Linked DNA regions of Xenopus tropicalis. The protein of the gene in region 1 interacts with the protein of each later gene in a pairwise test. Links are inferred from orthologs where the notes say so. Each region holds a gene or a part of one and is shown on either strand. Other genes may lie near its edges.

The links.
Region 2: the proteins of ddx6 (region 1) and vps52 interact in binary tests that used the Homo sapiens proteins (3 or more experiments, as listed by UniProt). The two-hybrid records come from large-scale screens. The link is inferred for Xenopus tropicalis from reciprocal best matches to the Homo sapiens genes DDX6 and VPS52.
Region 3: the proteins of ddx6 (region 1) and sipa1l2 interact in binary tests that used the Homo sapiens proteins (3 or more experiments, as listed by UniProt). The two-hybrid records come from large-scale screens. The link is inferred for Xenopus tropicalis from reciprocal best matches to the Homo sapiens genes DDX6 and SIPA1L2.

What each region holds. Positions count from the first base shown.
Region 1 is NC_030683.2:80,853,879-80,858,022, reverse strand, and holds the start of ddx6 (probable ATP-dependent RNA helicase ddx6), read left to right. Parts: upstream 1-1,279; 5' UTR 1,280-1,436; intron 1,437-4,144.
Region 2 is NC_030684.2:72,052,499-72,054,936, forward strand, and holds the end of vps52 (vacuolar protein sorting-associated protein 52 homolog), read right to left. Parts: intron 2,424-2,438; coding exon 2,358-2,423; intron 2,272-2,357; coding exon 2,160-2,271; intron 2,074-2,159; coding exon 1,955-2,073; intron 1,874-1,954; coding exon 1,727-1,873; 3' UTR 504-1,726; downstream 1-503. UniProt on the Homo sapiens protein: Acts as a component of the GARP complex that is involved in retrograde transport from early and late endosomes to the trans-Golgi network (TGN).
Region 3 is NC_030681.2:57,792,347-57,795,984, reverse strand, and holds part of sipa1l2 (signal-induced proliferation-associated 1-like protein 2), read right to left. Parts: coding exon 2,962-3,638; intron 1-2,961.

The DNA.
Region 1 (4,144 bases):
AGCTAAGCCGCGGGCCAAATTTTTTATTAAGATACTTAGTAGTAGAAGGATAGATCCTTCACAGTCACAGCGCAGTCAGGTGATTGGTGCTGCATGGTCAGGCACAGTCACCATGAGCCACATAAAACAGCCAGACGGGCCTTGTGTTTTACACGTGCCCTAAACCCTAAAATCCCAGCAAATCTCAGTAAAGTGATACTGGGTAATGGACATATATCAGGGATCCCAAACTATTTTTAGGTGGTGAGGAGCAGCAGTGAGTTGCTCAGGAGCCACTGTTAAGGGATCACTATTATACATCCTCTCTGGCTCTAGGAGAGTTACTCCAGTTACTCCAAACACTATTAATATTATATTAATATAGTATATACTATTATATTATATTATTATATAACACTATTGCAACCACTTAGCAACACCTAAATGTGTATTTAGTCCTGCTACTGATAAAATGATACAAGTATCAGGTTGAGGTACTGCTATATAGTTTCCAAGTAATAAGCCCACTACTAAATAACTTGTGATTATATAACTGAGACGTGATTGTAATCTTTAGTTTGAAACAGTTTTTCATTTGGCAATAAAGGTTATGTTTTATTTCTTCTAACAGTGTGCCATTAGAACGTAGCTTTCTAATTAAATGGTTTGACTTACAAATACGTTATTAAGCCCCATAAGAAATACGTGGGGCTATCCTAGCATTGTTTTTGCACATATATAGGATATAATAAATAAGATTACCTTGAAATCGCTGTAAAAGATCACAATTGTAATAACTTTATAATTAAAAATGGCTAGATTTCGACGTTTTCACTAACTATGGTTTAAAAGCTATATGCCTTTAACACAAACAGAGCGGTCAAAACGATGCCTATTTAAGGAGCTTTATAGAAAGTCAAGGATAACTTAGCTATAAAGAAAGCATATGGGTTCTCCTCAGAATAAAACATTTTTTTCGATTATACGTCTCATCTTGAGAATGAAATAATTGGTGCGCAGCTCCGGTCCGGACGCCATAATACCCTAAGCTCTGAGCGAAAGCAGACGTGGATCCGTGATGTTGGTTTAACAAAGCCCGCTATATAAATCGCCACATCACCCATTAAATGACCCATCTGGCAAACTGGCGTGTCATTGCTAGCCACTTCGCTTCCTCGTTGTTTTTTTTTTTTTTTTGTAAAAAATAGTGCGCGGAGTATGACATTACAGAGTGATCTCTGCAATATTGCTTTACGGTCTGGCGGAAGGATTTGGACGCGCGGCGCGGGGAGGGTTTAAAGGAGGAAGGAAGCCATTTTGGAGCTTCGAGTAAGAGAAACACACGGAGAGCAAACAAAAACATAATAGTTATACTTATAGTGAGTAATAAACAAAGAGAAACGACGGAAACAAACGGACAACACGACGACGAGGAGTCCGACGTGTCCGAGCCCGGGGTGCGTGTTGGGGAGAGGGGGTGGGGGGATGCGGGAAAGGGGAGATGGCAATTCTTCTGAGGAATGGGGAAGAGATGAGGTAATCTGGGCCCGGTAAACACTGCCGTGGGTTAAAAAGGGATAACGCTGTATAAACTAGATCAGGGGTGTTTTTCTTAGGGTGTTTAAGCTGCTGTTAAACGTAACTTAAAGTATTTACCTGTATGTATTTGCTGGGAGACGTAGGAAATGTTAGATGGAACGCCATCGCAATATATCCCGTTCATTCCGAGCCTGCAACACTGTAATCAACTACATGTTATTAATTTGAATCTTGTTAGGCTCTAGTTTTGGTATAGTTACCAAGTAAATGAGTTTTATGTATTGTATGTGCTGCTGTAATGGCTGCTGCTTTATTAAATCTCCCATGTTCTGGTCATAAGTAGGCCTAGCTTCTACTGATTGGCTGCTGTAGCAGAAAGTTCAGTAGTGATCCTTTGTCTTTGGGAAACTAACTTTATACAAGGTCATGTTTTCTGCTTATTTGCTCTTCTTTATCAGTTATAAGGTTCATTTCTTCATGTAATCTATTAATGAAGTAAAGGGAGCCTACCCAGATGCCAAAGGGATGTAGGATAAGAACACAGCAGATTTAAGGGTTATGTTGGGTTTGAATACATCTGTATGATCTTTCTGTCTTAATATTTATGGGGTAGGTTTATTACTAAATTGCTGTGTGCATTGCAAATAATTTTACATTTAAAATGTTATTTTTGAGCCAATAAATGTATCTCTTTTTGAATTATTGGTGTCTAGACAGAAATATCTGGTCTGAGATTTCTGAGCAGGGTTGGAGGGGGGGTGCAGGGCCCACAGGGGCCCCGCACCCCCAAGCTGTCTCCGCTACATCCCCCACTGGGGCCTCCACCTGACATCCTCCCCTGAGCACGCGTAAGTGAAAGTTACTTTCAACCCACCAGGGGAGGGACACTGGCTGCCAGAGCAGCATCTACAGGGATCGGGTCTGGGCTGGTGCGGCTCACCGGATTTTTGCCCTGGCGACCCAGTCAGACCCTAAGAAAGACTTGGATGTTGAGTGCTGTTCTTATCTTCCGCTGTTCTCTTTTTACCTTCCTATTCTTTTGCTGATTGGTTGCTGGGGGGAAAGGGAGGGGGAGATATCACTCCAGCTTGCAGTAAAGCGAGACTGAAGTTTATCAGAGCACATGGCTTAGGGCACCTAAGCATTAAATAACATTACATTTCAAAATTAAATATTAAAAAAAAATCTGATTTTTCAAAAAAACAATTTCAATGCAGGATTCTGCTGTTGGATTTTGGGGGGAAAAAAAAAAAGTCCCTTCAACTTTGTGTTTGGAGGGAAGAGTTCCCTTTTTTTTTTTTTATATAATTGTAATAGCAATGGCGAGCCTCCTGGAAGTTAGAATTTCGCAGCTCTCTGGCAGAAGTAATCTGCCTAATGTAAATTTCCCCCAAAGAGAGAATTTTATATGGGAACCCTACTGTCAGACCTCTTAATTAACAAAATTCTGATTACATGCAAAATGTTGGGGGGGGGTTTGGACATAGTATTTAATTTTTAAGGTGTGTAATGTCATAAGGTAACTTAGTTTGGTATAGGTTGATGACATTTTGCACATTTGTTGTTAAATCAAAACATATTCCTTGTACTTTGTGTCCTGCATGTCCAGACACATGGCATTGGTGATGCTGGCGACCAGATGGATTGTTGGATCTTTGTGTTTGCGAGAAATGACTTGGCAGTTAAGAATAGTGAAGCGAAGGATATTTGATTGTCTGAACATCTTGATTGTATGTGATGAGAACCCCTGAAGGTGGCCATACATTGGGCAGATTTAAGCTGCCGATTGGATCCTTTAGACTGATTCAGCAGCTTATCTGCACAAGTATGGGACCCTCCATTGGGTCTAACTGACAAATCTGACCAAAAATCATCCAGATGACAATTGGGCAGGCTAGATATTCCTGTGGAATCGAGGACCACATTGGCTCATTGATGCAGTCCTCGCTCTAAACAACAACCCAGTTATAGTTGATCTAGTGACCACTTCAGCCATCCAGTTGAAAGGCAGCTGTAGAACTTTGTTAAAACCTAAACTGCCTATTGTAAATTGCTTTCTGAACTGTAAAAGTCTAACCATCACTGGTTATACGTATCTTGGCCTGTATATTGAACACTATCATGTGGTAAGAGGTAGTCTTGATTTTTGTTTTTTTTGTTAGCCAACCTGCGAAAATGGCTGACCAAGCTCTGACCATATTTTTATATAAATAAGCTGCTGTGTAGAAGCCATCAATCTAGAAAAAGGAGAAAAGGCACAGGTTACATAGCAGAAACTCTGTAGAATACAATTATTATTATTATTTTTTTTTTTTAGAGCTTATCTATAGTCTATGTAACCATTTAGCCCTATGTAGCTTATGCCATTTAGCACTATTTCAATTTGATTTGCTGCCCCCATAGATACACAGTAGCTTTGCTTCAGAAACTGTATGATTCTTTACAAAAACACAAAACTGCCAGTGCAGAGCAGCAGTACATTATATTTTAATTACAGGTGTGGGATCTCTTATCTGGAAACCCGTTATCCAGAAAGTTTCGAATTACGAAAAGACCACCTCCCATAGACTCTATTATAAACAAGCCTATTTGGTTTATATTTAAATGATTTTTAACAGGCTTATGT
Region 2 (2,438 bases), on another chromosome or scaffold:
GTACTGTTACACTGGTAATCTGCTACCTTACAAGGACCAAACAAGTAGTTTCAGTTATCCTGTATAGAACAGGGGGCAAAAACCATATTAAAAACAATAGAGAAAAAGTATGTTAAACTTAAGCCCTATTCATTGCATCCATGTTTAACAAGGGGTATTCCTACTAAAAAAATAATTTTTTTGCCTAATAAAAGAAAACATAATTCCAAGCAACTTTTTAATATCAACTTATTAAAAGTTATTAGTAAATGTAATTTCTATAGAAAGCAGCATTTGCTGAACTCCTGGTTGTTACTTTTTAAACAATGTTGCAAGTGCCGGGCTCCTCCAGCAAGTCAGGTCTGTAAAATCTGCTGGTGTTTTGTTACATTGTTTCAAATGCCAGAGCGACCAGAGCAGATAATAGAAAGGACAGGCAGACAGTTCTTTTAATAGCAAATATATATATACATACAAATAACTAGAAACCCATTGCAAATATGTAATGCGTGTATATTGCAAAGTTGCTAAGAATTAAGTTTTCTTTAATTAAGCAAAAAATTATTTTTGGGGTTGACATGTCCTTTAATCTCTTTTAAAAGAATGACATTCAGTATGGACATCCATACAGGTAGCTGTTGGAGGGCTAGTACTTTAGATCTCTTCCTTACTCTTTTAAAAGATATATTATTAGAGTGGGGATTGGATAACATGCATGTAACATTCCAGTGTAGTAAAACAGCCTTCGTTTAGATACTGTGTTTAAAGAGCCTGCAAGACTTTCTTGTGACATACATATTGACTGGCAGAGAGAGTGCTCTGGTGTCTTTATAGGCTTATTGGAACTATCTCAAACATAAGCTACATAATTGGGTCTCAGATGTTTCTCTTAAGCCTTACTTGCACTTAAATGTTAATAGAAAGCGATGGAGGGAACTCTAAATCTTTGTATTGTATGTTAATTGCTCTTGACACAGAGCAACGTTTTCTTTTGTAACATTTTAGTAAATGTGGCTTTTAATACTGGTTTGTATCTATTTTTGCTTAAACTGTGTGGATAATTTAAAACAAAGATGTGTGTAGATATATATATACAGGTATAAAAATGTAGCCATAGCACTTTGGAACCCTTGTCTGTTATTGCTTCTAGTAAAGAACATAACTCCTTTACAACGAATGTGTTATCGTGTCCACAAAGGACTTGCAACTGCATCTTCCTTTAAGTTGTGGCATTTTACATTAAAACCCCTATGCATTTAGAATGTATTACCCCTGTACTTTCTACTAGCTAAGCTAGTGTTCTCAATCTGCACAGGCCTGTTTCAGCTATTGCTCATTAGCACCTCACTGTCCCCGGGGAATGGATAAGCTGCAATAACATTCAAATGACTGCACAGGAAATTATACATTTTCTTCATGCTGTGAGACTACATAAAACTATACATATTTATCCAAGATTTGTTACCAGTAGTAAACTTTATTTTACCCATACATTTAGTTCTGGCATGATTTTACAAGCAATAGTTAAGCATAGGAAGAGAATGCCATTAAATATATTTAAACTCAAACATTTGGTGGAGCTACCTGTTTACCTGTTGGTACAGGTATCTTACTGACTTAGCAAGGCAAAAGCACTTGCTCTTTCATTGTTAAGAAATTTACATCACTTGATGCATCTCAGATTAGTGTTATATACACAGGTAACAGAATCAGTTTTATGATACTTCCTACTTCTACCTTCTTGGGTTCAGAAATTAGGCTTATGTTTTTTGAGCTCAACCATTAGGTGATGCAGGTTTATTAATTCTGAGCATACAGGCAGATTCCTGAGTGGCGGCTGGGAGAGTATCTTATGGAAGCGGTGATAATACTGGATCAGCTGTGTTAATGCACCCTGTAAAAATGGAGAGAGTTAGAATAAAAGGAAGAACCCAAATAAAGGTCTCTCTTAAATAGCCCTTCCTAATTCCCTTACTTGTATAATGCTAGTTCCATTCTTAAAGTTGGTAAATGACCTCATAACATCCTGACTCAGATTCTCCACTGCTTGTTTCCATGTTGATGAGAACCCCCGTACAAGCTGAGCAACACGTGCTACAAGAAATTCAGACCGTTACTTTATGCAGTGAGTGACAATAAAAACAAATAGTAAGACTTGTTAAAATACAAACATCCTGTACCCTCTTCACTTCTGAGTCGTTCCTGCTGTCCCTTCTCAATTAGAGATTCTGACTCCTTGACAAATGCAATCATTCCTCCAAATGATGGAGCGAGTATCTCTTCAATAAACTCCTGGCATTTTAAACAGTACAAGGACAAAATCAATATGAAATACATGGTGTAGAAGGTAATAATACAAACACAAAGGGGCTACAAACCTGTGTTCGAGCAGTCAGCAGCTGTTGAAAACTTTCCACTTCTTTGCTGTCAGAAGATGCTCGTTCCTAGAGATGGCAGTG
Region 3 (3,638 bases), on another chromosome or scaffold:
CTTGCCTCAATAACAGTGTGCACAAAATGGTGCCTGCCTGCTTGCTGCAACTGTGAATTCCAAAGCTAAATAAACTAATTCATATGGTGTAAGTGAAGTTTATTTTGCTTGACAAACACAATTGAAAACATTCTGGAATTATTTCTTAGGGTGACAGGTCCCCTTTAAAGCAGCAAATGTTTTTTTTTTTTTTTTACATTAAGGGCAGTAAGGTTGTGATGACAGATTCTATTAGTGCTTTTAAGAGTGGCTGGGATGACTTCTTGAACAAGCATAATATACAAGTCTATTGTGATCTTAAGAGCTACAGTCAGTTTAGTATAGGTATGTGTATATATAATTTATATATGTAGGTGTATTTATAACCTCCCAACATTTGAAAAATGTAAAGAGGGACAAAAAAAATGGTGTGTGTAGCGCAGTGAACAATTTTTTGACCATGCCTATTTTTGCGACAACACCCCCTAAATACCACTCCCATTTTACAAAATATGGCAGGTTATTTAAAGTTTTAACATTTTCTGTTTTGATAAAAAATGTGAAATTGCCCTTTAAAGGAGAAGGAAAGACTAAGTCACTTGGGGGTGCCAAAATGTTAGGCACCCCCAAGTGACTTTAATCGCTTACCTTTTAACCCGGGCTGGTACCCCTGTTAGGAGAAAACCGTACTTGTAGCGAGCGCTTCCTTCTTCCTTCTGGACCGGTGCATGCACAGTAGAGTGAAAAGCCAACTTTTTTGTTAAAGTTCGGCTTTTCACTCTACTGCGCATGCAAAAGCGCATGATGAAGGAAGAAGGAAGAGGAGACCACGCTCGCAGCTACCCCAGGCTGGTGCGGTTTTCTCCTAACAGGGGCACCAGCCCAGGGTAAAAGGTAAGTGATTAAAGTCACTTGGGGGTGCCTAACATTTTGGCACCCCCAAGTGACTTAGCCTTTCCTTCTCCTTTAAGCTGCAAGTCTCAGTTTCCCCAAGAGACCTATTTAGCTTATTAGTTACAATTGTACCTAAATGCAGGTGTGGCTTGTTAACTTTTCTGGGCTATCTGTCAAAAGCTACTTATTTAAGTAGCGTTCAGTGCAGGAGATGAAAGGGAAATGGGGGACTACGGCTGAACTGTTAAAATCAGGACTGTTCCGCTATTTTCCTCTGTATTCCTAGTATTTGTCTAATGGCCTTTTATATAGCTATCCTGAACTCTGCTTGCCCTACCTGTGCCTGAACTTGGACTTGAATTCTGCTCAACATCCTGGTTACCAAGCTTTGTTTGTCTATTAGCTTTGTTTGTCTTGACTGCTTCCCAGTACCAGCATTGTCATTCTTGACTGTTCTAACTTATCCTGATAGCCACTGGTCCTCACAGCATGAATTTTTTTTTAATGAATATGGTCACAATGATCTGTGAAAAATAAACAAAAGAACAAGTACATTTAGTAATTAGTAAATATAAAAATAGAATTTTATTTTTTGCGTTTCATACCTTGTATGCTTAACTGTGAAAATATTTGCAATTTTTTTGGTCTGAATTAAAGGACCTAATAAACAGTATTATGGGTTGAAATCTACATTTATATATATGGAACACACTATTGTACAAACCAGTAAACTATACAAATTCAAAAGAGCAATGGTTGGTAAAATGTATTATGACTGCATCCTAACTATCCTTAGTCACTGAAAAGAACCCCAATCCCCTAGTATAGCAGAAGTAATAGAGAGACTCAAAGAAATAAAAACCATGGAGTTTATATAGATTTATGGGGCAGGGTATACTATTTTAGGAAAGTTTGGGAGAACAAGGATATTTATATGGTCAAGAGAGGAAACAAAGTTAAAATCAAAGAAATCTATTCCCAGAAAGTACTATATACTCATTAGAAGGAAACCATAAAGTTTTCAGTTTTAACATATTTATCTGTTTATAATACAGCCATGATTATCCTTTAAATTATATCCTTATAAACGGTGCTTAGCAATGTCATCAGTTATAATCGGTGGTTAGTAATGTAATTTCTGTCACATGATTCACTTAAACTTGTGTAGTAGCCACGTTTATAAAATATGAGGATATTAGAAGTTACAGAAGAGTTTCACTTTTATAAAAGCACTTGGAACTCCTCAGTGATTTACAATATGCTTATATTTTACAATAGGTGGTACTTTATTCACTATATATTTTTGTTTGTATTTCTATGAGGTTCTTATGCACTATAACTTTATATTTATTTTAGCCTCTAATTTAATTATACTGTTTAAATATAATTAATTGCCAATGCAAATATGTTTTTTAAAGTGAACATAATGTATCTGAGACAACTGTAACAACTAATTAAAAAAATGTACATTGCTGAAAACCCAATTGTAAGTTCTGGGGGAAATTGGACAGATCAGAGAACCCATAGAAGCTGGACTAGCAAGGACTGCAGGCACTGAAGCACAACTAGGCAAGGATGACAAGTTACTGGATATACTGTGTATATAGAATACAAAAGTCAAAGTACAAGGCTGATTAGTAATTCAGATTCATACATGGCATCAACTTATATGACTGACAAACCTCATTTTTTGCTTGATGATCTGCAACAACTCCTAAGTTTGGCTCATCAGGGTAGTTTATTCCATGAATCATTTGTATTAGCAGATACTGTCTGCATAGATAATGTCTCCATTATGAAGAAAGGCTAAAAATGTTGGAACTGTTTACACAGGAGAAGAGGCACTAAGGGATATGTGATTCCTATGCAATAGTGATGCTTTATGCATCAATAGATTCTCTTGGAATCTGGTTATGGGTTTCATTTGGACAGAAAAGTTTGAATTTAATGGATGGTGGTGGATGGTGTATTTATGTGTCTTGTGTATACACCAGTTATTATGTAAGTATATATCTCACATGACAGCCACATTTTAATTTTGAAATATACAGTATAGAAATAAAACAATTATTTTGCAAATTAACATACCTTTTCCATAGAAATACTTTCTGTAGTAGTATGCTCCAAGGTCTACATGCTCTATAATATAGCGCTTTACTTTTTCCCTGTGAATAGGTTGATTTCCTCTTGGAACCTCTAATACAGACACACCAGCATTAGTGCAATGAGAGCTGAGAGATGATTCAAAGGAACAACTTTCACCAGTTTGCACAGAAGAGTTTGCCCTTGATAGTGCAATTCTTCTGTCTCCTTCTCCCCCAATCTCATTTCTAAAATAAGGACAGCTTAGAACAATGTCACTACTTTTGCCATCTCCTTCATCTGCTTCTGGGCTACAGTTAGGGTCTTCTTTACTTCCCTGAGGATACTGACAATTTCCAGCTTTGCCACTAGTTACTGGAGACTGGGATGCTGCAGATGCCCCAGTTGTTATATTTTTGTGCTTAGCAACACTAGTCTGTGAGTCAATGGCTTCATAAATGTTAAACAAAATACTCTGTACATCATAATGTGCGAAACCCTTTTCAAAGGTCCCCATTTGCATACATTTGTCCATTTTACCATCGTTAAAGTCAAACGAGAACTTTAAAGAATCATGGTCACTTTTTACAGCCCTTAGTCTCTTATACAGAGATGTTTCAACAGTTTCTGCTTTTAACTGACTTTTAGGTAGTCTCTCTCTTCCTCTTAGCAATGCTTTGTCC